Yarrowia lipolytica: one gene and its partners. The protein of the gene in region 3 purifies or fractionates together with the protein of the main gene of each other region. This does not show direct contact. Links are inferred from orthologs where the notes say so. Each region holds a gene or a part of one and is shown on either strand. Other genes may lie near its edges.

What was found.
Region 1: the proteins of YALI1_B13355g (region 3) and YALI1_F16035g purify together in Saccharomyces cerevisiae (affinity purification with western blotting, with the first as the bait; 3 studies listed by BioGRID). This does not show direct contact. The link is inferred for Yarrowia lipolytica from reciprocal best matches to the Saccharomyces cerevisiae genes MET30 and CDC48.
Region 2: the proteins of YALI1_B13355g (region 3) and YALI1_C07979g purify together in Saccharomyces cerevisiae (affinity purification with mass spectrometry; 3 studies listed by BioGRID, with this or other methods). This does not show direct contact. The link is inferred for Yarrowia lipolytica from reciprocal best matches to the Saccharomyces cerevisiae genes MET30 and CDC34.

The regions. Positions count from the first base shown.
Region 1 is NC_090775.1:1,597,840-1,608,545, forward strand, and holds YALI1_F16035g (uncharacterized protein), read right to left. Parts: upstream 5,733-10,706; coding exon 3,279-5,732; downstream 1-3,278. Other genes in the region: YALI1_F15990g (uncharacterized protein), read right to left, coding at 1-1,240; YALI1_F16005g (uncharacterized protein), read right to left, coding at 2,178-2,675; YALI1_F16045g (uncharacterized protein), read left to right, coding at 6,702-7,739; YALI1_F16058g (uncharacterized protein), read left to right, coding at 8,025-8,175, 8,234-8,403, 8,449-8,604; YALI1_F16069g (uncharacterized protein), read left to right, coding at 9,083-10,706. UniProt on the Saccharomyces cerevisiae protein: ATP-dependent chaperone which probably uses the energy provided by ATP hydrolysis to generate mechanical force to unfold substrate proteins, disassemble protein complexes, and disaggregate protein aggregates.
Region 2 is NC_090772.1:790,452-800,240, reverse strand, and holds YALI1_C07979g (uncharacterized protein), read right to left. Parts: upstream 2,300-9,789; coding exon 2,213-2,299; intron 1,806-2,212; coding exon 1,722-1,805; intron 1,195-1,721; coding exon 661-1,194; downstream 1-660. Other genes in the region: YALI1_C07948g (uncharacterized protein), read left to right, coding at 5,349-6,524; YALI1_C07894g (uncharacterized protein), read right to left, coding at 8,941-9,789. UniProt on the Saccharomyces cerevisiae protein: Catalyzes the covalent attachment of ubiquitin to other proteins. Capable, in vitro, to ubiquitinate histone H2A. Mediates the initiation of DNA replication (transition of G1 to S phase in cell cycle).
Region 3 is NC_090771.1:1,330,625-1,341,076, reverse strand, and holds YALI1_B13355g (uncharacterized protein), read right to left. Parts: upstream 5,504-10,452; coding exon 5,471-5,503; intron 5,273-5,470; coding exon 3,131-5,272; downstream 1-3,130. Other genes in the region: YALI1_B13411g (uncharacterized protein), read left to right, coding at 1-178; YALI1_B13401g (uncharacterized protein), read right to left, coding at 415-646, 715-899; YALI1_B13328g (uncharacterized protein), read left to right, coding at 8,206-9,855. UniProt on the Saccharomyces cerevisiae protein: Substrate-recognition component of the SCF(Met30) complex, an E3 ubiquitin ligase complex that mediates the ubiquitination and subsequent proteasomal degradation of target proteins. Negatively regulates sulfur amino acids biosynthesis genes expression.

The DNA of each region.
Region 1 (10,706 bases), on a different chromosome or scaffold from region 3:
CCTGCTCGGCCTTGGATCGCTCCGTCTGCTTGAGAATGGAGCCCATGAGCACCAGGGCCTGGGCACGCTCCTGGCGCTTGGCCTGAGGCACCTTCTTGTCGTAGAGAATGTTCTCACACACCTCCCGGAGCACGTCAAGCACCTCTCCCTTGGCGCCGCTCCATGCGACCGCCAGGGTCTTTCCGATCAGCAGACGCTCCATGGCGGCCTTGGTCTCGTCGGTCCAGTCGTCTCCACCGGCCTCCTCGGCAGCAGCCATCTCCTTGGCGGTACCCTGGACCTCGATGGCGGCCGAAATGGTGTTCCAGGTCTCCTTGGCAGAAGTACCCTTCTCTCTGAGCTTGCCAAAGAAGCCGGGGATGAATCCAAACAGCTTCTGCGACTTGAGGTACATGGATCCCTTGGTCAGGTAGACCTGGCCAATGGCGTGTACGAGCTCCACGCCAAAGGACTCCATCTTGAGCTCGTTGGCCTCCAGACGGATCTTCTCCTGGAAAGACCGGGTGAGGTCGTCGGTCTTGTCGGTCTCGGTCCACACGGACATTCGCTCAATGAGCTTCTTCTCAAGCATCTTGATTCGCTCCTTTCGGGCCTCCTGACGCTCCTTTTCGAACTCGAGCCGCTTGGCCCGAGCAGCCTCGGTCTGGGCCCGTCTCTTCTTTCGCAGCTCCTTTTCTCGAGCCAGCGCCTCCGCCGCAGATCCGGGAGGATGGACGGGGCCGGTCTTGTCCTCGTGAGCATGCTCTGTCAGCGACGCAGTGGAGTGGTTGACTCCGCCGGGACTTGCAGAAGCCCCTGCAGCCGCGCCTCCAGCAGCCGCGCCTCCAGCACCAGCACCAGCACCAGCACCGGCTCCCTCGGCTCCCTCCTCGGTCTCGGCCTCCTCCTGCATCTCCATGCTCTTCTGTATGTCCTTGAGCAGAGACAGCTCGCCAATCCAGTCGTTGAACAGCTGGCCTCCGAAAATCATCGTGAAGAACTCGGCCGGGTCCGCAAAGCCCTCGGCCGGCACCGCGTAGTCCTTGCCGTGCTCGTTGTACTGCTGTCGTAGGTCCTTGTCCGACAGCACCTGGTACGCCTCGCCAATCGCCTGAAATCGCTCGTTGGCGGTCGGGTCGTCGGGGTTCTTGTCGGGATGGTGTCGAATCGCCATTTTTCGGTACGCCTTTTTGATTTCCGCGTCCGAGGCGTCCACCTGCACCTCCAGCAGGTCGTAGTAGGCTGTGTCTGCCACCTTCATCTTTGTGTCTCTGTCTGTGTCTGTGTCTTTGTCAATGTCACCGCGCAAGTGTGAAAGGGTGAGTGGGTGAGTGTGAGGTTGGTGGTGCCCCTGCCTTGCTTATATTTCTCTGCTTTTCTTTTCTCCCAAAACACCAGCCAAAATAGACTTAGGCTTAGACTCTAACGGGTGGTCATAAGGCTGAGGGATTTGGGGGAGGAGGGCGCACCAACCACGGCCGCTGGAGGAGCTGGGACGCGGCCGGGGCAGGTTTGACGGCGCAATCATGACTAAGCGTCGCACACAGTCCATTTGCACTTTTCAGATTTCCGATACTTGCTCTCAATCTGTTTTTACGGGGTCTTGTGGCCACCAGACTACGAGCGTGAGCATGAGCGTGAGCATGAGCATGAATATGAGTACAGTGTTCCAGTATTGTACTGTTAAATCCGAAACGCTGGATAACCGGAAATAGCGATCGAGCCGCGTTAACTCCGGATGCACACGAGACCGCGATCTACGGACTTTCTACAGAAATACGAGGCCAGCCGACGAGGTGTAAAGGGGCTAGGTGGTCAGCCGTGGCCGTTGAAACATGACATTTATTTTTAGCTAGGTGAAGAGAAGTCGAGTCGATGTAGTTGAGGCATGTAGTTGAGGCATGTAGTTGAGGCATGTAGTTGAGGTCATTCCATGTCGTCTCGTAGAGCCCAGTACAAATGGTCATTTGGACATACAAAGAACACGAAGACTCAACACTCCAACAATCCAAGACTCCAGGACTCGCACAGAGTCAGTGACTTCCGTCACAGTCAGACATGACCACCTTTCCTCAACTCACTCAAGACTCCAAAACTCGCACAGAGCAAAAGACTTCCTCCCTCACATTCAGTCTGCTCAACTCACTCATTGATTGCTACCCTCAACTACTCCACCGCCTTCATTTCTCCAACTCTGCTCAAAAACCCCGGGTGAACCGCTCCCACAACTGAGCAACCTCGGCAGTGTCCACCCGGTCCATCATCTCCTTCCAGTCATACTGACCGCCGCCCGAACCCTTCATCTTCGCAGCCTCCTCGTACAACTTGCGCGAGTAATCAAACCCCTGCTTGTACGTCTGGTAGTCGCCGTCCATAAACTGGTCCATCTTGCCAGCCCTCAGCGCCTGAATGTCGTCAATCGTGCCACCCACCCCTCGCACATAGACCCACCCAGCACCTCCAACCACCGCCAACAACACAAACATCCGCACAAACGTCGTGATCAGCCCCCAGAACGACCGCAGACTCTGCTTCAACACCAGCAAAGACACGTAGAAAATGACAAGCACCAGAAGAATGCCCATCAGATCGGGATGCGTGGAGAAAATCGACTGTAGCGGCGGCTGAATCGCCCCAACCACGTACGACAAGGTCATCATAGCCAACCGGCTAGCAATCGAAAGAACATTGACCATGGTTGTGTGTGTGTAACAGGAAATGTCTTGTTTTGTCTTGTTTTTTTGTTTTTATATCGGTTGTCCAGCTCAGATCAAATGTTGTGATCCCCAAACCTTATCATATTCACGTGCAGCTCCACCGAAAATTCAATCAGGTGGCAAATGGCTAAATCGGCCGCTAAATCTGGGGTCAAATCGCCACTGAAACGTGGCATAAACGGCTTACGTAATCGCGAAACTGACCATAAGAAGATAATAACGGCGACAAAAAAGTCACATGAACAAAAATGGAAAAAAAGGTCCTATTGAGGAACAAGTACAGTACGAGTACAATACTGCATGTACTATACTGAAGCTAAGTAATTGTCTCACAATAAGTGTAAACTCCCAAGTGCATTACTTGGCTTTGGTTGCAACCACCAATACTCTAAACGTGTTTAATTAGTAATATTCGTGTAAGCGTACATTCATTTCAAAGGTTATTCTTTCACAGCAAAGTTATAATTAAATGAATGTATATGCAGAAAAAAAAAAAATCTAGGTACAAGTACAACCACTACATCCTATTATATATACATCCTAATATTATCATGTCATTGCTATATGCTCAAACTCATACGTCTAGTTGTACAGGTCATCCTCCTGGTCAGCACCAAAAGCAGTGCCGGCACCAGCGTCGGCGGCGGCAGCCTCACCAGCAGCGTCCTCGCTGAACCGGAAACCAATGTTTCCTCGCGACGACTGGATCTGCTGGGCATAGGCCTCGTATCGACGCAGCTCACTGTCGCTGACAGATCGCTTGGCGGTCTTCATGGCCTCCTCAAAGTGGGCCCGGGTGATGTAAGGAACAGGGTCTTCCATCTCCACGTCCTCGTTGCCGGCAGCCTCAGCCTCCCGCTGGGCGGTGATGGCAGCCTCAATGGAGTCCTTGATGGCAAACTTGGCAGATCGCTGCACAATGTACGACAGATCGGCACCAGTGAAGCCATGGGTAGACTTGGCAAGCTCCTGCAGAGACAGACCGGGCTCGAGAGGGGTCTTTCGCAGCTGCGCCTTGAGAATGGACAGTCGGCCGGCCTCGTCGGGCAGAGGCACATAGATGAGCTGGTCCAGTCGGCCGGGTCGCAGCAGAGCAGGATCAATCTGGTCGGGCCGGTTGGTAGCTCCAATGACGAACACGTTCTTCTTGGCGTTCATACCGTCCATCTCGGTCAGCAGCTGGTTGACAACTCGGTCGGAAGCTCCACCGGCATCGCCAACAGAGCCACCTCGGGCCTTGGCAATGGAATCCAACTCATCGAGGAAGACAACACAAGGAGCGGCAGCTCGGGCCTTGTCGAAAATGTCTCGGATGTTGGACTCTGACTCTCCGAACCACATGGACAGCAGCTCGGGACCCTTGACGGAGATGAAGTTTGCAGACACCTCGGTGGCAACGGCCTTGGCAAGCAGAGTCTTACCGGTACCGGGGGGACCATAGAACAACACACCCTTGGAGGGAGACAGGCCAAACTTGGTGTACATCTCGGGGTGCAGAACGGGGTACTCGACGGTCTCCTTGAGCTCCTGCTTGATGCCGTCGAGACCTCCAATGTCCTCCCAGGTGACGTTGACGGACTGAACAACGGTCTCTCGGAGAGCAGAGGGGTTCGAGTTGCCGAGTGCGAATCGGAAGTTCTCCATGGTGACTCCAAGGGAGTCGAGCACCTCGGCGTCAATGGTCTCCTCTTCCAGATCAATCAGATCCATCTTCTCTCGGATCTGCTGCATGGCTGCCTCGGAACACAGAGAGGCAATATCGGAACCGACGTAACCGTGAGTCTCGGCGGCAATGGTCTCGAGATCAACGTCGTCGCCAAGCTTCATGTTCTTGGTGTGGATTCGCAGAATCTCAAGTCGACCGGTGGGGTCGGGAATACCAATGTCGACCTCTCGGTCGAATCGGCCGAATCGACGCAGAGCAGGGTCGATGGAGTTGGGCCGGTTGGTGGCGGCAATGACGACAATGTTGGCTCGGGCCTTCATTCCGTCCATGAGAGTCAGCAGCTGGGAAACCACTCGTCGCTCAACCTCACCGTTGGTCTTGTCTCGCTTGGGGGCGATAGAATCAATCTCATCAATGAAGATGATGGCAGGAGAGTTCTTCTCGGCCTCCTCGAAGGCCTTTCGCAGGTTGGACTCGGACTCACCGGCCATCTTGGACATGATCTCGGGACCGTTGATCAGGAAGAAGAAGGCTCCGGTCTCGTTGGCCACGGCTCGAGCCATCAGGGTCTTACCAGTACCGGGGGGACCGTACATGAGAATACCCTTGGGGGGCTTGATACCAATAGACTTGAACAGCTGGGGGTGCCGCAGAGGCAGCTCGACTAGCTCTCGGATCTGGGCCATCTGCTTTCGCACGCCTCCAATATCGTCGTAGCCGACCTCGTTGAGGTTGCCCTCCTCGTCCTCTCGCTCAATGGGATCGCCCTCGCAGTGGATGACGGTATCCTGGGCGACAATGGCGTACTCCGGGGGGTCGACGTCGACAACCTTGAACTCGACTTGTCGCATACCTCCTCGCACGGTGAACAGATCGCCCTTTCGCACGGGTCGGTAAGCCTCGACAAAGTAGGGCTTGAGGAAGACGTCGAACAGCGAGCCGGTCAGACCCTCAATGGTGTCGGAGATGGGCAGACACGAAATTCGGGTGGCGTACTTGATGTCGGGGCAGGGGTGGACCGAAACCACGTCTCCGAGCCGGACTCGCAGGTTGCCTCGGACGCATCGGTTGATTCGGCACACGCCGTCCTCGAGTTCCTCGTCGGCCAGCACAATGAGCACCGTGTCCTTTCGCTTCTTGCCCTTGACCAGCACTGTGTCGCCCCGGAACAGCTGGAGCAGATCCATGGTTGCTGGCGACATGCAGATGATGGAGTTGTCATCGTTGGTGGCATCGTCCACGACAAGAGCTATGTTAGTATGATTGATTGCTTGCTGGCTTGCTTGCGGTTTTCTCTGCTGGGGTCTCATGTTTCTGCGGGCAGACCACCACATAACCCACGTTGCCGCGCCACCCGAAATACTCACCATTGTCCTTCTTTTTCTTTCGCAGAATGGCGGTGGCCAGAGAGTCGTCGGCGTTCTCGGCAGCACCGGAATTGTCGATCAATCGCTTCGATTCTTCGGTATTGTCAGTCATGGTGATGTGTACAGTGCAGAGTTAAGACAAGTGCGTTTGCCACAGTTAAAAGTGCGAGTGCCAGGACCTACCAGTTAAGGTTCGGGGTAGACAAGTAGACAAGTGTGAGAGACGGAAGGGAGTAGGAAACACCCACGTAACTGGACCGTGGAGGAATGATCCATGAGAAAGAATATTACATGGCGACACACAGCCTTATATAGATTGGCTCTGTGCAATTTTCCGTCTCTAAAACCCCCAAATCATCCCGACAACGTGGCCTCTACTCAAGACCTTCCAGTACCTTCGTCAGAGCAATTGCCTAATCTACCGTGGTGAACTTTGTCCACCCAGCCTCAACAGATCTCATCCTGCCCAGACGGCCGGGCGTACTGGGAAATGGTGATTATATAAGCTTATAAGAACGGGATGGAAGGTGTCGTGGCGTTTGGGGGGCTCTCCGTCCTCCGATTAGTCAGCAACATGCCTCTCTAGGCCCATGTCTCTTGGGAGACCCTTTCGACCGCCCTCCTCCCCTCCCTCTCGTACTGTCGTCATAGTTGCAGCCGATAAGCCAACTAGGGTTCAAAATGACAGCTCACCATGGAGCTGCTTAATCAGCTTAGTCAGCTGTGGGGGGCGGCGGGGGTCTCGTGGAACATGTGGATTTGGAGGAATATAACCGAGTCCGGATTAGTCACGGTGGTCCAGGGTCATGACCAATTCTCCGACTCCTTGTCAGCTTGCCCAATCCACCTTATCACGTGATCTACAAGTAGCTCCCTGTGCGTACACCATGCATACATTGCCCATCCTACTTATTTACATCCCACCAGTGATCGGACCATTTCAATCGGGCAATTTTCTGATTTTTTCGCCGCATGACTTCTTTCTTTGTGTCCACGTTCAACTGTGGCAAGCTCACCCAGGACACGCAGTACTACCAGCATTTGTCCGCCGAGTTGGCAGGGATTGATGCGCCCCATGTCTTGTTGTTTGGGTATCAGGAGCTGTGTTCGATTCCCGATGGGTGTCTTGGATATGCGGTGGATCCGCTCAATGATCTGATTCAGCAGGTTCTCAAGGCGATCAGGGACCAGCCGTGGCTCGAACGATACGTGGTGGTTGGTCAACACACGTTTGGAGCCATGGGTCTGGTGGCAATAGCGTCGGCAGATGTGCTTGTCACCGACGTCAAGTTGTGCCACGTGGCGTGCGGCATGTTCTGGTCGTCGCTCAAGGGCGCCGTGGGTCTCCGACTCAATGTTGATGGCAATCCCGTTGTGTGTGTGGCTGCGCACCTGGCGGCCAATGAGGGCTTTTTGGAGCAGCGCAACGACGATTTCGCCACCATTGCCAAGGAAATGAAGTTCCTCGACCCACGCACAGGCATCTACGATGACGCCACGGTATTCTTTTTGGGTGATCTCAACTACCGAGCGTCGGAAAACGAGCAGGGACTCGCTGACTACAAGGTGGTAGACGAGCTGTTTTACGCCATGAGGTCGCTCGATGCCTTCTGGGACTTCCAGGAGGCCGAAATCGGATTCAAACCAACCTACAAGTTCCACACCGGAACGTCCGAATACAACACCAAGCGAATTCCGTCCTGGTGCGACCGAGTGCTGTATAGAGGAGCAGTGGTGCCCCGGAAATACGACTCGATCCCCGCCGTCATGTCTTCAGACCACAAGCCCGTGTACTTGTGGGCGTCGGTGAAACTGACCCAATCCACCGCTGTTGAGCAGGGCGATGTTCCTCCTCATATTCTGTCTGCTGCCCACGTTTCCGAACTCTTGCATATCCGAACGTCGATCATGGACTACATTATTGCGCTGGGACTGTTGGGTTTCACCACGAGAATGGGCTGGATTTCCATTGCGGGTTTCTTGTTGTTTGCGTGGGCGTTGTATAGGTAGTGTGAGCGAGTGTGAACGTGACCAACGTGAACTTGGCCAGCGTGAACTTGACCAACGTGAACTTGACCAGCGTGAACTTGAGCGAGCGCGAACCTGCGCCAGACACAACACTGTCTATTTCATCTATTTCATCTGCTCTGCTGTCACAGTTTACTCCACCCCACCCCACCCCAACTACAATAACTACAGGACTATGATTCAGCGACCGGCTGACAAAATATTTTATTTAATCATTACATTAACTGCACGCACGGCAGCGAGTGTATCAGGGCAGGGCGGTACTTGATGAGGCCACTTGGAGGTCTTGGAAATGCTTTGACAGATTTGAGAATCGACAGTTTATTGCGTCAACTGAGTCGATTGCTTCGACGAGAACTGTCCGCAAGTGCCAGCGACGAGATCTGGAACGGCTCGGCCCAGACCAGATTCGTAGGCAGTGCTGAGGATTACAAGGGATTAGAGGGAGAAGCACTCTGAAGAGCAGCTCTGAAGAGGAACAGCTTTGAAGAGGAACAGCTCTGGAGAGGGAACCAACAGAAGCCCCTCCTTCATCAGTAGATTAAAAAAATTGTTTGCTAACAATGTCTACTGCAGTTTTTACAGCCTTTACAACAGTCTTAACAGCAGCCAGTCCCTTCCCCTACTGAGTCAAACAGTAAGACATGTCACCGCTTAAAACGGCGATTCACGTGACCTTTTCCTTGGGAAGAGTTCTACTGACACGAAGGATCATGTGACTGTTTTGGAACAGTTCACTGAGTGGGGTTACGCACCCGTGAGTTTCTACATGGTGGTGGAACTACGACTCAGCTGGGTTTCGAACTTGCGATTAAACAAGGCAGGTTTTTTAAGCGCTAGGCCATAATTTTAGTTAGGATTAGTTAGGGTTAGTTGGAATTAGTTGGAACTAGTTGAGTTCGTATGGTTGGGGAATGGTTGAGGAATGGCTTCAACAGGAAGGGCTTCTAAAGATATCTTTTGGTATTACGACGACTTGAGTTATATGGTGTAACTAGTGTCTATAAGTACGTACTGAGCCCGGGACTAGTGTTGTTCTGGTTGTTCTGGTTGTTCTGGTTGTTCTGGTTGTTCTATATCCCAACTATCCGTAGTTGGCATTTAGTTGACCAAAGCTTGGATTGATCCATCCCACAACAATGAACCAATCAGAGGCTAGAGAGATGGCAGTCGCAATCAGATTGAATAGTTAGATTCACAAGCTTCAATTCAACACCTTTCGGCAATTTTACCATCTACTCCGATTTTTTTCCAATTTTTCCCCTTTCTTCATTATTTTTTCGGAATTTTCTCCCCACTGCAAAACACAGTTCACCAGACTCTCCATGCTACACGAGCTGGTGAAAATTCTGACGTTTCGAACCGTGCAACTGGAAGCGATAGAATCTGGGCGACTGCTACGACCGCGAGACCGACAAAAGTTTTCGCGAATAGTTTTCTCCATGCTCTCCAACCGACCGACCAAAAAGGCCAAGGCGTCGCGCGACGAGGCCGGGTTCAAAATGCGGGCCCAAAAGGTGAAGAATCTGGAGATCAACGGCGACGAGCAGGCCGATGGGGCCCAGTACGAGCTGAGCGACGGCCTGCGACGTGTCTCACCATACTACTACACCTATCTGACCTACTGCAAGCAGCGGTGGAGAGACCGCCAACTGCTGGACATTTTTGCCAACGAATTCAGAGACAGAGACGAAAGCTACTACCGATGGGCGATTGAGAACGGCCAGGTGCTGCTCAACGGCAAGGTGGCCCAGGTGGACTCGGTGGTTCGAAACGGCGACGCCATCCAGCACAGATCGCACAAGCACGAACCGCCAGTCACCGACCAGGAGATTGACATTGTGCACGAGGATGACGATTTGGTGGTGATTGACAAGCCGTCGGGGATGCCGGTTCATCCGGCGGGACGATACAGGTTCAACACCGCCGTCAACATCCTCAAGCACGTGAACGGACTCCATGTTCATCCTTGCAACCGGCTTGATCGACTCACCTCCGGCCTCATGTTCATGGCCAAAAACCCCAAGTCCGCTGACAAGTTTGGCGCCCAGCTGCGAGACCGCCAGGTGCAAAAACAATACGTGGCCCGGGTGGTGGGCAAGTTCCCCGACGGCGAAATCTCCGTCGACGAAAACTTGTGCACTCTGGACCCCAAAATCGGATTCAACATCGTCACCACAAAGGTGGACCGAGACCACCACCGGGCTCTGATGGACCGCGCCACCGAACGGGAAGCCAAAACCGTCTTCAAACGCATTTCCTACGACGGAGAAACGTCCATCGTGCTGTGCAAACCATACACCGGCCGAACCCACCAGATCCGCGTCCATCTGCAGTTTCTGGGCCACCCCATCGCCAACGACCCGCTCTACTCGTCGCCGACAATGTGGGGCGAATCCCTGGGCAAAGGTGGGCTTGAAAACTACGACGTGATGATGAAAATGATCGACGACGTGGGCAAGACCAAAACCGCCGAATCGTGGTTCTTTCCAGCAGACCCCAACAAACCCCTGGGAGAAGTGCTTTCGGGCTCCTGTGAAACGTGCAAAACGCCCCTATACACCGACCCGGGCCCCAACGATCTGTCTCTATGGCTTCATGCCTTCACCTACTCCTCCAAACCAGATGAAGACAACCCCAACGCCCCCAAGTGGTCCTACTCCACCAAACTGCCAGAATGGGCGTCGCAACCCCACAAAAAGTTCATGGACTTGGCGGTGGCCGAGGCAGACAAGTCCGAAGGAACCCCCTCCGCCTTCTGCGTGGGAGCCGTTCTAGTCAAGGACGGACAAGTGCTGGAAACAGGATTCTCCAGAGAACTGCCCGGGAACACCCACGCGGAACAATGCGCTCTGGAAAAGTATTTTGCTAAAAACAACGTGTCAGACGTACCGGAAAACACCGTCATCTACACCACCATGGAGCCCTGCTCCGAACGACTCTCCGGAA
Region 2 (9,789 bases), on a different chromosome or scaffold from region 3:
CTGCAAGAGCATGCATAATCTTGCATATAAACAGAGGCCCAAATGCCAAACAGGGGACAAATCGCTCATACAAGATGTGGGTTATACGTGTTGACTACAAATAATGGAGTGTTGGAGCCATCAATAATCAGAGAAAGGTTCGGGAGTCGAAACACTGAAATACAAATGCCCGCGACACCCTCTCCATACCCACATATGCAGCTCCGTCCACCCGAAAGACACCCTTCTTTCTTTCTCAACGAGACGACAGATAATATTATAGACATGGTTACTATGAGAAATGTACAGTATAAGTGCTAGGATACAACCACAAGTAGAACTTAGATCGGAGCTACTTGTAGCTGTAGATAGCTCTACTGGACAGAACCACTATCAATCCTTAGGTAGTGTCGTAAAAATAGCAAGAGCTACGAAAAACTACCATGGCAGGCCCGTGTAACTACAACTGCCAACTTATCAGTTACGGGAGCAAGTTGACAATCGTACAAATACTGTACAATACTTGCGCACTGTACTTGGACATACACATCTATCGTACAGGATCTTCTACTGCTGTGCACTTCAAAACACCGCTTATCTCTCTTTCACATTATGCATTACTATGTTCGGTTTCTAAGCGGTCAGTCTCTGGGGTCGGTGAGGTTCAAATAGTTGGTATGCCTACTCCTCATCCTCGTCGTCGTCATCATCGTCGTCATCCTCGTCGTCATCAGAGTACACCTCGCTCTCATCGATGGACTCGTCGTCAGGCATGCTGGCATCGTCCGACTCGTACCAAAAGTTGTCATCCACAACGTCCTTGTGCTCGGGTGCCTTGGGAGCTACGTAGGCGGAGGACGAGGATGGCACAACGAAGCCCTCGGGAATATGTTCTCGGCTCAGCTTCACGTCCTGCAGCACCTTGGTTCGGTACTCCTCCTTGTCCTTCTTCCACATGACGCTGGCGTCGGGGTTGGCTGGCGAGTTAATATTGGGGTCCTCCAGCAGCGACACTATGCTAATGAGCACAGACTCCACCGACTGCACTGGCGACCAGCACTCCTGGTCTGGCTCTCCGCTCATGACGTCACCGCCGGGATGGAGAATCGAGATGCAGAGCCGGCCGTCCCTGTACACGTTGGGATGGAAGATGGGTGGGGTGAATTTGAATTTTGGCGGCGCATACGGAAAGTCCGCGGGAAATGTCATTTGTGCCTGTGTTAGTTTTGTCTTGTATTTACCTGTGTGTTTCCGTCCTGTCCTGCGGATTCCCGATCTCGGTTGCCGGGGAAAACTCAATAATATACAGGCCACACCTTGGTGGGTGTGGTGCGGTGAAATGGACGGAGGGGCAGGAAAAAAAAAAGGAAACAGAGAAGACGGGAAATAATAAGTAGCACTTCAATAACACCGCAACTTGTACATTGTGAGTACTGTGGCGCGTGCGGGGTTCGGCCGATGGATGCCCGATAGCACGTATGGTTTCGAGCTGGCACGCCACAAGGTCAACAGCAAACCAACTTTGGGGTCACCAAACCAGCTAGGGGTGTGAATGGCCGCCAAGCGGAGAACGATACTTGGTGTTCTGTATCTCCGACGGTGCTACCTTTACTTCCACCAAGGGCTCTGCATCCCGTTGCCCTACCTTCTGCCTCCCTCTGTTCTCCTGTCGTGTCGTGTGTCACATCAAATGTAACCCTCCAACAGGGCCACAAAATCAGCATCAGTGTCTGCGTACTCACTCTAAAGTATCCGCCGTGGTATACTGAGTCCTCGTTGAGGACCATGACGGCCACATTCCATGAATAAATATTGTCATCCTCGAGCTATGTTAGTATGCGCGTATGGTTGTGGGGCACAGGTTGTGTAAGGTGGTGGTCAGGGGGGTGGGGAAAGGCAGGTGTGTCGGATACAGCTCGTGGAACCCACGTCTTAGAAACCGTTTCAACATGTCATCTGAATCCCTTGCACACCCTAGGAACACTCATACCACAAAACACTCTGTGGTGCTCTGCGACACACCGTGACCCACTCTGACGCACCTGCGCGGTTCTTGAACAGGTAGATGACGAGGTTTGGGGCAGGGAGAAGCGCTAACAGCGAACGCTCTTCCCCACAACCACCAACACGCCGCCTGCTCACCCTCACCGCTGCTGTCGTTTCTGCGTCACCACCAACAGGTTGGGTTCGTTCGAGACCTCTGGTCTGTCACTTTGGGTGTCTGACTACTCACGGTAATATGAAAACTAGGGATGGCCTTCTTGGGATCGGTCAGCTCCCGGTAGTATTTCATAAGAAGATTAGCACTGCTGGAGCTCATGATGTCGAGGTTTTTTTTTGTGTTTTTTTTTTTTGGCCCTGGTTTTTTTCTCTGTGAGGTGTGATTTGAAGTGTGATGAGAGAAGAGTTGGAAGAAATGAGAAGACACAGCTGAGGAGTGGGAGGCCCTAAAGGCTAATTTTCTCTTGTCGACTGCATCTTGGGTTGGGTTGGGTTGGGTTGGGACTGGTGTGGCACAAGGCAAGGAGCGACAGATGCACCTCACCTCCTCCATACAAGACAGTGGCGGGGGAGGGGAGCCGGAGCGCTACAGTTGCTGCTCCACTGTGGTCATATAAACAGCCCGCCCTCCCTAACGATCTTTCTTCTCCTCTCACAATTTGCACCCCCGTCTCGGCCTCTAATGTCTACGTACGCCATGTATCACCCACCATCTCCACCACCCAGTCTGTCAGCATGACCATGAATTTACGGGGTTGATTCAACGTGACCGCTTTCTGCTTGCTGCTTGCCGCTTGCTGCTTGCCGCTTGCTGTTTTCCGCTTGCCGTTTTCCGCTTGCATTTCCTTTTCGCCCTTTCGCACTGCTTGTGAAAGTATATGCGCTGATAAGAGTGCGAGTGGGAGAATCGAGAGGATATGAGGAGTATATATCTATCTGCGGAAGCGAGTCGTAAAGACGGATTTTTCACATCGATGTCGACAAAAAAACAACAAAAGAACATCCTTTTTAGGGGAGCAGGAGGTAGCTACAAGTATCGTCAAGTATCGTCAAGTATCGTCAAGTATCGTCAAGTATCGTATGTACCGCCCCAAAGAACAAGCTCTCCATTATACTGTACCTTGTATATGACAAAGCGATTGTCTTTTTTTAGTCAACCACCAAAGTTATTTAGACCAACATTACTGCATGTGGCTTGGGTTAGGGCCAGAACTATGATACGAGTAGGTACGCGGACCAGTAGAGGACGTAAACTGGCACCGTAGCCAGAATAGTGACGTGAAAGAGGTCCAAATAGGCTGATAAATGACGCTACAGCTTACATAAGCCCTTTTTTTATTTTTTAATTCTTTCCGAGGTCGCAGATTGCCGAGTAGTGACGACTTCAGATGTTGCTGCTGGCCGGTACAGTATTCGTAAAAGTTCGCCAATACTGTAGCTAATTAAACTGCTTTGCAACATAGCCCTGTACCATAGCTGATGGGAGGTGCTAACATCATGTTACATTGCTATGGGGAGACGTGGATAATCTACTGTATAACCCAGTCGCTCTTCATTCACCACAGTTGATGGCTGACAGCTGACATGGTGTCACTGGCTCATTCTACCAGTACAGAATGTACAGTAGACGTCTGTTCTTACAAGGCCGATAGCAACTGTTCTTGCTAATGAGCCAACAAACACTACAAGTGCTGGACTCGTACAAGTAGTTCAGTCGGAGGACCAAAGTGAACCAATTTGAGACCTTTCAGGAGCCCCAAAATTGCATGGGTCCCAAGCTCCAGCACTAGTATCACCCATGTAACACCACTAATAGGTGGATGCTAAGGCCCGGACATGGGATTTGGGGAGATTGGACGTCCTTCAGGCGTATGATGGGGTTGTAAATTACGGTAAACGTGAGAAAATGACGGTATAATCAATCAGTAACCAAATACACCCGATGTTCAGGTTGCAGGATAAGGCCATTGCCAATATGGAAAAAAAAGGAGAAAACTCTCTCATTAGTTGAGATTTAGTTAAGGAAAATGGTCGGCTGGGGGTTCAAAAACAGTGTTCCAGAAGCTGTGGAAGATAATAAAATAGATATAAAGGTTCTTGATAAACGTAATACAACAAAAATGCAAAAGTTATACTACCTTCTCCTATTAAAATCTGCCGCTATCGTTGTTTTACGCGAAACCTGGACGTTGAGTTTACTTAAGGAATAGTTGAAAGGGTCCAGCAGAAAGAGCCTCCCCTCAAACTGCGGAACAATCAGAGATGTTTGGAAACTTCAAACCAGTTATCTCACAGACACACAACCATAGGATAGGTCGAGCTCGCACTCATCTCGAGTCCGAGCCCAAATCACTTGTCAACATTTTAGGTCCGATCCGGTGACCCATTCACGTCTTCTCGATACAGCTCATGCCACCATTATCAGAGCTATACCCTCCCTACCACGACCAAGAACACCACACTCGTTATTGCGATAAAAACAGACCCTGTCCATACAAACCGCTACCGTAATGTCGCTCCGTTCCACAGCAACAATAACTTGGACCCTTTATAACCATGAAGCTGCATTTATACCCCAGACATGTGTACCAATAACAACTCTGGTTAAAGTTGCATCAGCTCGCTCCATGACTCGGCAAACATATTAAAGTCGGTCAAAGATCAACATCATATGGCGTCAGTATGAAGCCGTAGCCAACGCGGAGGGGTCAGATCACCCAGAAAAACCAGTCTATTGCAGTTGCCCATCCACAACTCTCCGGTTACCCTACCGTGCTTCCCCACACCGCGTCTGTTTTATAAACACAACTTCCCCGGACTTATGCCTACGCTGCATGCCGAACCGAGGTTTGAGGTTGTGACATGATGCGTGCCTGAAAGCGGGGTAGTTGGACAGTGGTTCTTTGGGAGAGGAAAATGGCAGCGAAATCGCGTCTATATATCTTTACCGAAAGCTGCTCCCAAACAGCATCATCACCACCTGACAGTTGCCCCTGGACAGACTAACAGCTGGAGAATCTTTCGGCACCACGTAATTTTTAGGCTCTTTTAGAGTTGGTAATCTCTCGCAGTACGTTTGGGAGGACGACGAGCGAGAGGGATGACGAATATGAGGGTGAAAAGTAAAAATCCCGTGGATTTTATGAGACAGATCCATTCTAGATTGACCAGGCTCCATGTTGGTTCTTTCAAAATCGAAATCGGACCAAAACTCGCAACTATAGCTAATCCATGCAGTTTACCAATGTCACAACATATCTCTCAATATATATCTGACCGAAACAAGAATCATACCATTCAACTCGCTCAACCCTGGGGATTCCATTGATACCGACATCTCCCCTTTTTATCCCCTCACCCTTTCGCTAATGCCTCACTCCATATCCCTTAGATGGAACTCTAATTGCAACCCTACATGTCGTCATTATCTCCATCATCATCGGAACGTTGCTCACCACACACACCACACTTTCCACATGTCGAAACCCGATTCCGCCGCCGAGCGAGCCGCCAATTTCGAGCCATCGGACATGAGCGCCGGAGCCTCCGCTCTTTCCGGAGCTATTGGAGGAGCTGTGGCCAACTTGGCTGTTTTCCCTCTTGATCTGGTCACCACTCGTCTGCAGGTTCAAAAGGGCTACCTGGACGAAGATGATCAGTACAAGTCTCTCCTGGACGCGTTCACCAAGATTGTCAAAAACGAGGGCATCTTTGCACTGTACGACGGAGCGTTTCAGGATACCATCTCCACCATGGTGTCCGCCTTCTTCTACTTTTTCGCCTATGATTTCCTACGAAACAACCGACTCAAGATGAAACGCCTGCCCAATGGCCGTCTGCCCAAGACCCTCGGTATTGCCGAGGAATTGCTGGTGGGATCACTGGCCGGAATCTTCTGCAGATTCATCACCTCTCCTCTCGGTAACATTGTCACCCGACAGCAGACTGCTGCTCTGGTGCAGAAGAGCAACAGAGCTACCCCGGAGGCAGCTGCACACGCATCCGAAAAGAAGTACGGTCACGTCATTACCGGCGTTAACCCCGAGGTCCCTCCTGTCACACCCACCACCGTCGAGACACCCTCTGCTGTGCAGATCGCCAAGGATATCTACAAGGAGAAGGGCATCACTGGCTTCTGGACAGGCTACAAGGCCACTGTGGTTCTTTCCATCAACCCCTCGTTGACCTACTACTTTTTCCAGGCTCTCAAGGCCAATCTGATCCCTTATAAACGACGAGACAACCCTACTGGAGGCGAATTGTTCCTCTATTCGGCCCTGGCCAAGTCTCTGGCCGGTCTCATCACCTATCCTTACATCCTGGCCAAGACCCGGCTTCAGGTCAAGTCTGACAGTGGCTCTAACAAGGCCAAGTCTGCCTCGCAGATGGTGGTGGATACGATCAAGAAGGAGGGAGTTCTTGGACTATGGGAGGGCTGTCAGGGCCAGATTCTCAAGGGCTTCTTTTCCCAGGGAATCACCATGCTCATCAAAGACAAGATCGCAAGATTGCTCATTTATATTTATTTCCTGCTTGTTAGATAGACAGGGTGATAGACAAAAGATTGGTTCCGTGAATAGCACGAGTACAAGTAGACGAGAGTAGATGCACATGATCAAGTAATCATGAGCTACTTCCCACAGGTGTCTTTAGGCTCTTATCGTCTTATCGGACATCAGATGTCGAACCTTTCACCGACTGGTGCAAGTAGCTGCTATAAGTACGATAGAGCATTCGTAGGTACATACTGGCAAAGATCATGGACTGCTACTATCCGTGAGCCCTTGACAACAAGATGCGAGACTGTTCTGATATACCCCTGTCTTACTATTAACTGGGTCTATTGATAGTTGTTTGCTACGAGGGCTGTGCGGATGAGTTTGAAGCTACTACGAGTATCATTGTAACTACATTGTAGTTCAAGCTAGATGTAGGTGAGGATAGGGATGCTAATGAGGCGTTGCAGCTGATGGCGACTGATACTCCGGTGGGACAACTACCGGTGCCTTTGGTCAAGCTAGGATAGCCATGGAGATCATGTCTACAATATGAGAAAGGGAACAGCAAGCCAAGTGTGCAGGCAAAGTCATGTCTTTCACATCTACTTTCACTATCGCCCGGCTACCGACGTAATCTTCAAAACCCACTTTGACCCCCACATCATGGTCCGACTGTACAGCCCATCATGTATGCACCGATCTAAGATGCTTCGAGTCTCAACCAGAGCCTGTTGAGTCCTAATCAGGGATAGTTGCTCGCGGTTTGGCTCTGGAAGATTGGAAATGGGCAAACGGTGATTGGATAGAGCAACTGAGTTCGTGCACATTTGTCTGATTATGTCTTGGTCGCGCAGTTGAATTCGTGATAAGGAGAGACTAATCGTCGGTCCGGTACAGGAAGGTAAGAGCATAGCTATGAGTGGTGGTGACAGTGGTGGTAGTTGTGTGAGAACTGAAACGATACTTGCCACTTATGGAGATACATCAGTAGTTGAGTGTAGTTCATGTGCAGCAGTTGAACAGTAGTTAAAGAGCGGTTGATCGTCCTACCATGAATCAGTTCACACACAGACAACCAACGCTCGCCTAGAAAACCGCGATGGAATTGATAACACGGGTAATGTACAAGTACACAATTTTGTAGCCTTTAAGCGAGCAGGTTGAGTTAGTATCTTCTCTTGTTGGTCTTGGGCTTTTCGTTTTGCGATTTTTCGTTTTACTTTTTTTGGCCGCCTTATCGGTAGACCTGGTTGCATGGAAGATCAACTCCAGAAGGGTGGAGGTGGATAGATGGGGAGTCACGTGATAGAAGGGGTGTTTGTTGGAGATGAATCTGAGGCCTGAGTTGAGCTGTTACCAAGACTTGTGTAGATCAGATTGATTCATGATGGCTGGAGTGTGTACTGGAAGTCGGCACCGCCTAGCGACCATTCAGACAAGATCGACGACCACTACGATGACATATTGGAACCACATTTGTTCATCCCCATCAGGTCGGCCCCAGCAGCGCGACCTACAGGCAATTACTTGCACCCACTTGTATATACTGGTATGTAAACCCCACCGTCCTCTCGCTCCTCCTACTCACTAGGAAGTGAAACGTGTGTCTAACTTCAGCCACACTGGCCAGAGTTCGAGTCTAACTTGTACTAGTGTGCCTGTTTGGTGGGTACAAAGAGCCGGTTTGAGACCAGAGATGTTGCCTGCCGCTAGCAGAAGTCTATCAGTTTTGATTATCTACTGTGGACAGTTGGCTGTGAAATGTAGTCGTCCCCTCCCCGGTACCTGGTGGCTGTACTCGTCATTGAGTGAGGATATGTGAGACACGGACGGCTACAACGGCTACAAAAAGACAACATACAATGAGTAAAAAAAGAGACAAGTTAAAGCACGAATCCAGTAGATGGAGCGACAAGAGACCAGACCGGTGCCGTGGATGTGAGGTCTAATCTGATTTGGGTGGGTAAAAGCTGTACAATATGTACCAACGGTATTGTAAGTTGCGTGGGAAGTCGATTCGTGGGTCCGAGTAATTAAATAGTGACATGGGTAAGTCTGGAAGCAGCTGGATTGAACCAATGCCCTTTATTCTAGCATAATCCGTTCTATAGCTACCATCTACGCTTGTAACACGTGCCATAGCGATGAGATCACAGGATCTGGGGATTGCGAAAGATCCAGAAGTCCGATAAGAGTAATAATTCGTATAGACGATACTATAAGCAGTTGAAAATCACCCACAGACTCCTCCAACGGATCCAGAAACATTTGTGTGGTCATCCCTATCCCTTAATTAGGCCACGGTACTAATCTCAGAATGTCCACTGAAGCCCTAGACTGAAAGATCCAGCCGTCAGTTCCAGCATTTATGAACACTGTTGCTCCACAATGTCTCAAATACTCGCACTCATGTAATCAAAACACATATTATTACTAGTCATAAATCGTTACTTTTGCCCGGTTACAAAACCTGGGTGTTATTAATGTAAGAGGCCGCAGCAGCCTCAGCGGAGACTCGAGGCAGGTTGCCCTCCTCAGAGTTGGTGTGCTCGCCGTTCTCGGAGTTACTCTCGAACTTCTCGTCTCCGGAGTGCTGCTTCTCGAGATCGCCCTCGGTGCCAGGAGCAGGGTGAGGAGTGAAGATGTCCTCTCCGTCGGAGTTGTCGGGAGCATCGTAGACGTCGTCAGAGGCCTCCTTGAGGTTGACCATGGGGTAGAAGAGAGAAAGAACAATCATGCCGGCCACGCATCCAAAGGGACCGAGAAGCATGTGTCGCATAGCCTCGTTGAAGGCCATGTTGATCTCAGTTCGGACCTTGGAGCCCATGGGGTACTTGGTGGCCTTCTTGATCTTGTTGATGATCATGTTGAGGTCCTTGGCGGGGATATCGGGGGCGTACTTGTGAATGTACTTGGGGTAGAGGGTTCGGTAGATGGCACCGGAGATGGAGTCACCAATAACCTGTCCAACACCACCAGTGGTGTAGTACAGAGCGGTGACAGAGGCCACCTTGTGCTTGTCGAAGACTGCCTGAGCCATGGCGACAGCGGGAATGTAGATCATACCTCGTCCCACACCCTCAAAGACCTGGGCGATGATCATGACCGCCAGCGATCCGTGGGGAGTTCGGTAGTGGTAGGTCATACCGATACCGACCAGATGCAGACAGGTACCGATGACAATGACTCGCTTGCAGTGGCCTCTCCACCACATGTAGGGAGCAACGGCAAACAGACCCCAGGCGTTGGCGGTGACAATCAGAGTGGAGGAGACGTTGGTAGCGGCCTTGGGAGACTGGCCCTTGACCAC
Region 3 (10,452 bases):
GCAAAAGACGACCGATTCTATACCCCTTCAGCACTGTGAAGAAATTGCTGTGCCCAGCATTTGTCGTATTATTTTCGGATTTTTTCCCTACGCCGCTCTTCACTTTTTTCCCGCACTAAATCTGACACTTTCTGACACCTTCTCACAGATAACCAAACCCTTGAAAAACTTTGCGTGACGTCAGTGGCGGCCGAAAGCGGGTTTGAAACGTACTTGTAGTCTGATGAGCTGTTGGGTCCATGGCTGCCACAAAAATAAATCCCAACCGCGTGCCTCGCTAGTGTATTATAGGGAAATCGGAGCTACCTGAAATCTGTCTATTGTAGATTGTCATGCAGGTGGAAACGACACTGACGAGACATTGTTCTGTCATCCCAGGTGCGGTATTGCGTCCATTTTTTTCACGCACCAAAGTTACACTCGACAGGAATGTATTGAATACGAGCCCGCAGTCTTTTCTTTTGCTAATTGCCGTTTTACTTTGCTATAGGTTGCTACCACATCACAGGACATGAATATCACTTGGGCTTGGCGATGACTCAGGGCCTGCGGAAACAAAATTATGCCGGAAAATCGTGGACATGGCGAAAAAATGCCAACTGAAAAAAATGCGAAATATGACACTAAGCCGACAAAGTCTGATGGTCTTAAACACAGGTTTCACCTCTGTTGAACCCAACGTCAAGGTGAGGCTCGTTTCTTAACCTCCTTTACCGAAAACGGCCGCTTCTATATTTTTCTATAGCAGTACAAACCGCACACGCCATTCCATCGGTTAAATGACGCAAGGAAGCTAGCCAAACAGCACAAAATAAAGGATTACAGAACGAGAGAAAATCACATAAATCCACAAGAAATCCACACCTGCTGTCAGACCGTATTCCGAGAACTTTGCACATTTACCCCTCCTCGTTCTATGCATCAATCCCTGTCATTAATTCATTTGAATTTTCGGACGCGTTTTTTTAAGGTCTGACACCCCTGGACGATCTTCCATGTGAGGAGGCTTGTGCGCCGGTCATAGGAACAGTCATGCGACACGAGACACGGAGATTGATAAATTCCGTGCCTTTCTATGTGCTTATGTAATCATACTCAATCTCCAACTGTCTACCACTACGCTCCACATTCTTGTAGCAACCTTTGTACCCCATTCGAGATCGGACTGTAGTACGAGCACCTGTAGATAGTGGCAGGCTAATAAAGGTGCCCATCATCACGCTCTATCACGTATCGTTAGGCGCTGTGGCTGTCGGAATCATGTGTCCATGGACAGGTAAGGGGACAGTTGAGATTGTAGGTGACCCGTTACTCATACAACCGCTTGTATGATTCTGATGAGCACTAACCTCATATTATCGGAGCTATTCGGAGGCAATCGTTTTTGGAAAAGGGAAGCAAATTCCTCAGTTTCCTCTTTGAACGACCCATGCCCAGCTGGTGGGCTGGATACGATCCTGTTTACTCCGAAGAAGCCCTGTCGTTCAGTAACGCCAGAGATGAGAAGTTTGTGTTTGAGATCAGCGGCTCGGAGAGATATCTTCTTTCTAAACTAGGTAGTGTACTTGCGCTTCTGAAGCGCCGCAATTACGTCACTAGTATCTTCTGCGCGAGTATCTGACTTTTGCTATAGCTCTGATACTTGGACATCTATGATTGCGGTTGCTGTTGAACAGGAGAACGGTATGAAAGGATTTGGGGACCCTCTTGTGGTCTCAGGCTTTTGGAACGTCTACAATGACGTTTTTGGAAACTATCTAGTACAATAATCAACCCCCCATTCTCACACAAAGCTCATCTGTCTATAAACACACACAGCAACTCTGCACTGAGAAATACGAGTTGACATAACAAAGCAGGGTCAATAAAATCCTGGATAGTAGAAAAATGGGACCTCAGTGACCGATACAACCACCTAATCAACTCCCCAATACCCCCTCTTTCTCACAATAAGCTCATTGTGGTTCTACATCTCATGATGACTAGGACGAAGGTTGGAGACAAAACATGAAAAGAACATACGGGACTGTAAAGAAAGAAAAAAAAATATCCGTAGAAGCAATGACAATTGCAGCACCCAGGATTCTCGTATGGTCTCCCACTACAATACTAACTGGGCTCTCTGGTGCTTGACTAATGGCTGATCGGACGGGAAGCCGTATTTTCACCAGGATATGGGCCCGCAACTGGACGGAGCAGAGTGTGAGTTCTCTTCACCCGAGCTCTGAGTCTCATGATCCAAAAATCAAAGAATCAGCTTCTTGAACAGTAAGCGTCTTGTAGCTTTCCGTTCACCATAATCTCGTAGTGCTTCGTCGCCAACCCGGTGTGAAGTCCAGAGTTGTTGTATACAGACCTACATATGAAGCCTTATTGTAAAGGGCTTCTAGCAACTCCCTCTTTTGCCAATCCCATCTCTCTTGCCACTTCCTTCCTCACTTGTATCTCTCCCTTTTTGTTCTTATCCTTCTGAACAAACCAGGACCTCAAAAGTCATCGCCAGTAAGATCTAGAGCTATATCTAAGTCGCTATTCAGTTGGCGGATACTCTGAACTACCACTATTCAGCCACTGTTATACATGTCAGTATTTTCAGATACGCTTGCTACATATTCTTTGAAGATAGGCAGTCTTGAACTTCCATATCGATGATACAATAGATTCACGCAATGAAAGCCACGCCATCCTATAGCATTTGTACAGGCACCAGATACTTATATATCACTCGTGTCTGTAGAGTAATTATCCAACACACCTTTCGCCGTCACTGTTTCTACGTCCATGGCAACACAGCCATACAAATCAAGTCTACACCCTCGTCCACTGTCCACCGTCACAGAAGCTATGGAAGTGTTGAAGTTGCAATTGAAAGAGGCAAGAGACAAAGCCATAGTAGGACCCACCGCTTGCCCTGGCGTTTCTCAGTTCATGATTCCTACACAGGCATGTCACGTCACTATTGGTGCACTTCAATCAAGTTTTTTTTTTCAATTATCTCTATGGGGGTATTAATAAATAAGTCATCGTCGTTTCTCTGTTCTCAATCTCTGTCTCGATCTCTGTCTCGATCTCTGTCTCGATCCCTGCTCGACCTCTCTCTCGATCTCTGTCTCGCTCTCCTCTCATTTTTTTACGCTCTGGAAGGCATGTCAAAATTGTACAGACGGGCAACACCGTCCTCGCAGCCCATGACAAACTTGCAGTCGCTCATGGCCACACAGGTGACAGCCTCGCGGTAGCCACCAAACGTGTGCATGTACCTACCAGAATGCAGCTCCCAGACTTTGACAGTCTTGTCGTGCGACGCCGAAATCACTCGGAAATGATCTGCAGCAATCGACCACACTCCCTCAGCATGACCAAACAGAGTGCGAACGCACTTGCCGGTCTTGATGTCCCATAGCTTGATGGTGTTGTCGAGGGATCCCGTCAACATGTGTGTGGGGTAGTGCTTTCGAGCCAGGGGAGTCTTGGGCTCAGGGAAAATGTCGCATTGAGACACTTGGCCAACGGAGAAGGAGTTTCGCTGGACAGCAATCTCTCCATCAGCAATAGCAAGATCAGGACCATCGGTAGAGTCGTCAATTGCACTTTCGTGACCATTGTCGGCCTCATCAACAACACTGGCATCAGCGTCATCAATGGCACTCTCATCGGCATCCAAATGATCAACGTCCTCCAGATGGTCGAGAGTCAACGGAATGACGGACTGAATGTGGTGCACGTGTCCACCGGTGTTCTGGTGACCAAACACCCGCAGACACCGCTTGGTCTCCAAGTCCCACACTCGAACAGTGTTGTCGTCAGAGGCCGAAAAAAGCAGGCCCGACGCGCTGTGGATTTTAACGTCGTTGACGTAGTCAGTGTGGCCCCGCAGAGTGAAGCAGCTCTTGGTTTCAAAGTTCCACACCTTGACGGTCTTGTCTGCGGAACCAGAGACAATCAATGAATCGTTGAAATCAACCGCAAGAACCTTGTTCTCGTGACCTCGGAAGGTACACACACACTGACCTGTTCGGTAGTTCCAGATTCGAATAGTGTGGTCCAGAGATCCCGTGATGAGTTTGGTGTCGTCGAACATGAGAGCCCGGACTCCCAGACGATGACCCTCGAGGGTTCGGATCAGCCGACCAGTCTCAACACACCACACCTTGACAGTGGTGTCGTAGGAACCAGTAATGAGGAATTGGTGGTTGAACTGCAGGCACATGATGGCGAGCTTGTGGCCGGAAAATTTACGTACCGAGTACTTGCCGGTACGCCAGTTGCGCTCCACCATGTATCGTTCTCCATAGACCTCCTTCCAGGGTCGCGTCTTGGATGTTTTGGGTGCAGCCATGGCCACATTGTCGTCTTCTCTCTTTCGCTTGTGTCCGCATTGGACGTCTGACGAGGAAGATGGCTTTTCCCCTGTCAGGTCCTCCACCTTTTCTTGTGGGGTTTGGTCTTCCTTGTCCTCCACCTTTTGTCCTTGGGTGTCGACCTTGGGGTTGAAGTTCTTGGCCCGCAGTTCAATGGACCGTTTGCTCTGCTGCAGGCGCTTCTTGTCCAGCAGCGGCAGGCCCCAGCCGCACTTTGTGCATTTTTTGTCAATGTGTTGCTCACACATACGGTACCAGACCACGTCGTCGTCTGCGAGCATTTTCCATCGCTTGCTGACCTGCGCGGCTCGACAAAGAGATGCCGTGTCGAGGTAGCACAGAATTTTGAAGGCCACCTCTGTGGGGAGCGCCGAGATGAAGTCGATTCGAATGAGGTCCTTGAGAATCGAGCTTACCTGCGACAGCTGGGGGAAACAGCATTGTGTGAGAATGCCCTGCAGAATGAGCGAGCGCTGGCGAGGGTTGGACGCTGAGAAAATGCTCCAGCAGTGGCTGATGCCCTCTCTGTCCTTGACGGGCAGCTCGTCCATAGACCGTTGGATCTGGGCCATGCACTCTTCGTCGGACTCGCGGGAGCAACTGAGGTCCGGATGGTGCCGGTAGCAGTATCGTCGCATGTCCTTCATGTCGGGAGACAGGTTTCCCTGGAAGTTCTTCATGTACTGTGTCAGGATCGACGAAGGGTGTGCGGAGGGGGGCTGTGATGTTTTTGTGGGTGCGACACTGGCCGTGTCAGCGCCGTCGCCACTGCCGTTGGGGTGTGGCTCTCCACGCGCTTCGCTCTTCATCGGATCGGTCTGTGGCTTGGAGCGTTTGTGTTTGTGTTTGTCCTGTGCTGAATGAGACGGTGGAAGGACGAGTGAGGGGAGACTGCTTGTTGGGTGGGTAGCCTCACTTATGTAGTCTGTGGTTTCTGTTTGTGTCACTTGTCGCCACTCGGAACTGGGAACACAAAAAGAAATATCGTCTCGGAGGGTGCTCAAGAGGGTCGGTGGAACACTGTGGTGTGCTGTGAGTGTGTGCGATTAGTACACCACTTGACCTCCAAGGTTTGGCTTTGCGTCTAATCAGGGCGATTCGGGGCAAGCGGGTGGTAAAGAGGAATGAGTAGGAGGAATCATGAGGGCTTTGAGAGCAATAATTTGGGGAAATTAGTACCAGAACTCGTTAGAAAGGTCGTCTGTTTGTGTCCCAGATATCCCCTCCGCCACCGCCTGCCCGGTTGCCCTCGAACAAGACACCTCCACTATCTCCGCCCACCCAGGTCACATGACCCAACCACTTTGAATAGCCTCCCCCAAACCCTAACCAGCGCCGTTGAAAACGCCACAGTTCGCAATAGTGGTCGAGATGACGAATACTCAATGGATACACTCTATCGGGCAGCGATTCCGCGCCACCGTTGCTCTCCTGTGAGATAGGCCCCGATAGCGAACTTTGGTTCGGATGGGGATTATCGCGGTTTGATATAGTGGGCTGTTAACCAGTACGAGGCATCTGCGTACGTACAGTCCATACTATAACTTCACGGAATCTGATATGAACAAACAATACACGAATCAAGTGTGAAAAACTATCTGAACACATGATTCCACCTCCATCTTTCCAGTCCTTTTGACGGCCTCGGTGACACTTGTCTGCGCAATGATGAACATCAGTCTCACTCGCACAACACTATTACTCAGCGCTACACTGTGGAGAGAGAGCTGAGACTTCAACAGACTAGTGTGAGGGGTTTACAAGTGGCTTGATTAACAAGTGAGGTGAGGTGCAAGCTAGACCGTCCGCTATACGCCTGTGTAGTGTCGTATTTGAACGTGGCAAACCGGGTATAATTCCTTCTTACTCATGTCTTTGCATCCATGACTACAGCTGACTGTACAGTATCTACAGTAGGTACATAAGCTACTGTGCACTTGACAATGCGCACTAAAAACGTACCGGGAGTTCTAGAAGGGTCTATGAGGTGTCTTTAGTACAAGTAAGTGTCATGTCATCGTTTTCTTCATGGAGTCTTGGGTAGTTTTTTTTTTTGGTGGACAGGTTTTGTTTCTGTAGTGTGTTTGATCGTGTTATTCTTGAGTTTTCTCGATTATTGCGATTAATACACTATATTCCCAAACACAGGTAATATCCAAATGCTTCCTATGTTCTCCAATATTTCGCTTAAACTTTATATTCACAAGCAATTTGTAATATTCCAAATGTTACCAAATTTCTCCAATATTTCAATTAATGCATTATTTTTCCAATTACTCGCGCCAGTCTCTTTGTTACATAAAAGTGCTCAAATTCGGTCGCGCAAATACTGCATTATTTTCAACATTTCGAAATCAGTCGTTTAACTGGAGCCCTTGTTTATGCCTATTTATAGCTGCATATTTCAGGTCAGGTCCCGTCACCAATGCATGATGCCACCAAGTGCACGGAATACGAAATAATACGAAACAAATCGGGTAACCCCATTGAGTCCTGATTGAAACAGAAATCGAAAGAACGGTCTTCAGCCCACCACTGCCAGTTGTTTATGTCGAAATTGGACGTCTCGTCCTCAACTTCCAGTTTGATTAATGACCTGAGATTAGCGCCACTGTCAAGACTACAAGTAGGCCATAATACTAAAAACATAGTACGAGTACGAGTACGAGTACAGTATGAGCATACCACGTCGTACAAGACAATGTTTATATAGTCCATCTAGGAAGTGAGTTGGCCAGTCAGTCTTCAAATTGAGCAGACGCTCATCATCGCACCGCTTACTCATCATCAAGGACCTCTTCACCGTTTCACCGTTTCACTTGTACATTCTCAACTGCACGTGGAGTCTCGGGAGCATGTAAAAGAGGGGCCCTGCTTCCAGACACGTTGACAGGTGACAGAAATTGCATGCCAGGGCGTGCAAGACGTGGGTTTTGGAACGGCTGGCTGCTTCGCTCCGTCTAACCTGTTTCCACACGCTTTGGCTGTCTGATCGACATGGGTGAAACCCTCAAAACACACGGTGGTGTTACAGCAAGATGAGTTTCAGCAGCGTTCAGTCGAAAATAATAGGGGAGACTCCATGGCGAAGAAACGACATTCAGCGTTCAGGGGTTTGCATGTACTCGTACAGTATGTACACCGGCATGCAAAATAAAGGGATATTACAGCAGCGAGGCTCGGGCTGGCGAGTGTCAGCTCATGTTTGGGTGGGTGCCTTTCATTCTCTCGACCAGAAATGTCAACTATTATTACCACTAAACGCAGCTCCTGTTCCCAGGCTGAAACGAAGAAACATGCATGGCTACTCTAGTTCGGTGCATTACCCCATTGGCGGTCATATTATCGACCCCAGGTCGCCCGTGTATCGTACAAGTAGCACAGTAGCGGCGTGTCAAACCCTGCCGCTTGTCTCAGTGCAGTGGACATGATAATTTCAGTTTGATTGCAATACTATTGGCTGGGCCGGTTTGACGCTCTGGTGGATCGGGTGACCGGGTCCCCAATTGGAGAGAAAATCAAAGCAAAAACTCCTGGAAAAAGGAGGGAGATTTGTCAGACCCAAAACTCCCCTGCCGAACAAGCGGCATTCGCGACAAAAGCGTGCTTGTCTCTCATCTCTACCCCTATTAATTACCCTTGGTGGCAGCCGCGTCCTTCATGCGGTCTCAGATCTAACGGCGCGGAGGTTTGCACCTAAACCGAACTATTATGGGCGACAGACTCCTCTCTGGTTTGGGACGTGCTCCCCGCCTGTAGACGCGTACAAGTCATATAGACGTGGGTTTCTCGCTTGCATCGCCCGCCGTTTTGCAAAAAAGAAAGAAAGAAAGAACAGCGCACCATGGGCAGACTGATACGAAGAGTGGCCCGAGGCAAGCTCCTGGACCCAATACCCCAGGATGACTACAAGCAGCTGCAAACGTTAGTCTCCTCCAGACCCGACAATGCGTACTTCATTCGAGACATGTGCACTCGAGGGGTGGTTTTGACCTTTACCACCGCCAATTACGCCAGATGCTTCATCATCCTTCACATGCTCTTCAATGACGGACCCATCAACTTCATCAAGCAGGTGGACATTCAGAGAAAGACTGGAATGCTCGATCATACGCCCCTGGATCCCAAGAATGAAGACAAACCGCTAGCAATCTCCGATAAAACCACAGCCCAGCTGTTTGTGCCGTACTTTGCATACCTTCGAATGCGTCTGAGTCTCCAGGAGAGGTTTGGAACCGATTTTCTGAGGCAAAAACTCGACAATAAGAGCATCACGCTCGATACTCTCATGAATAAAAAGTCACCAGACGCCCTGCCGCCTAAATACGTTGAGATGTTGTCCACTTTACTGGACATGACCAACACGATTCTCAAGATCGCACCCTGTCCACAAGTGCTGTATCCCGTCTTGTCACGTGACTTGTCTGTCCTCTTTTCGCTCCTCAGCGATGGACTTGCCACCATTTTGTCTGTCTTCACGTCGCTATCCCTCCCAGAAGCTGCTCATGGGCTTCTGATATACAAAAACTTTGTGGCTCTCAATGTCACCTCTCAAACCTCGCGGTACCTCAATATGAGCGTTCCCCAGATTGACGAGACGCTGACAAAGACAATTGAGTCGTGGTTGAGGTCTGAGCAGCTCTCTAGAGCCGTACCCCTCCCCAATTCCCCTCCAGAGTCTCTTGCAGAGTCCGTGAACGGATCTCCCAAGTCCGCTAAATCGACCCAGATCATCTCCAACATCTCCCACCGACAGTTTCAGCGCAATCCAGCTTCTGTAGGTCTCCAGGAACCATCAAGTGTGTCTCTATCACCACCCAAGTCGGTGTATTCGGCGAGATCCAGCTCCCTGCTTTCTCATAGAAAGAATATCTCGTTTGATTTCTCGGAAACAGTGGCCCAAAACGTGTCCAGATTCATAGAGCAGTCCGACAGTGATGAGGAAGAAGCGCAGGCCTTCCCGATATTCAACGCCAAGCTGTCTGACCGAACTATTACTGGGTACCTGACCCAGGAGTCTGACGATACCAATAGCAACGGAACAGACCAAGATTCGAGCTCCGCAAGTTCTGCTACAACCACAACCGGAAGTCCAACGTTCGTCATCACTTCAACACCTCCAAAGTCGCCCAGAGACTCCGACGAATTGCTGGAGTGTTTTAATGACCCTGAATGCGAACCATCCCCCAAGGTGTCGCTTCGCAAAATGAGACCTCCCCAACTCAATCTGACGAGAGATGTAGACTACGACGATAATGTGGGCATTGCCTTTTTAAAGTCTGCTTCCTCAGACTCTTCAGACTGGTCTGAGATTTTCTCCCCGCTCGAAAATGATTCAAAGGTATGTCTCTCCTTCACTCCCTCTACCGTTCCTTCTTCTCCACATGCTTCCACTTCCTCCATGGGCCTGGCCGTCGGATACTCCGATACAGGCACTTCTGCGGGAAGTACGTACTCACAGAGACGGTGGAAGCGGTTCTTTAGTCGCAACTAACGAGTCTAGGCCCTGTCGACATCTTCTTGTAAAGACATCACAGTCTAGTCAAGACCCTATTTATCCATTCAGTAATTAATCGACGTGTGTATGAATTGAGCGCTGTACAAGAACTGTATCACAAGCCATCGGTGAAAATGACCAACCCGGAAGAGTACAGTACTATGCAGCTCTTGGAATACTCCTACATATTGTAGCTACAATTTGAAACACTACATACTGTTTGCGTGAGTGTCCTACAAGTAGTGAAATGGTAAGCTCAATTAGAACCTTTTTGTTGATGGAAGGACAACAGGTAGTCCTTCCATCAATTCTCTAGATGTTTTTTGTAAGCCGGGTTATTGGGGTTCAATAAATCATACACTTCTGAATCATCAGTTTATTTTTTATTCTAATGATTCATTACAGATGACGTAATCCGACGACGCTAACTAATGAGATCGCTCTCTAATATGCTAAATATCGGTGGCCCGATGGTTTAGTGGTATAATTCTCGCTTAGGGTGTCCTAGGCAATTTGCGAGAGGTCCCGGGTTCAATTCCCGGTTGGGCCCTACTTTTTTGTCTTTTAGAACTTTTAAATGTTTCTTTTTTTTTT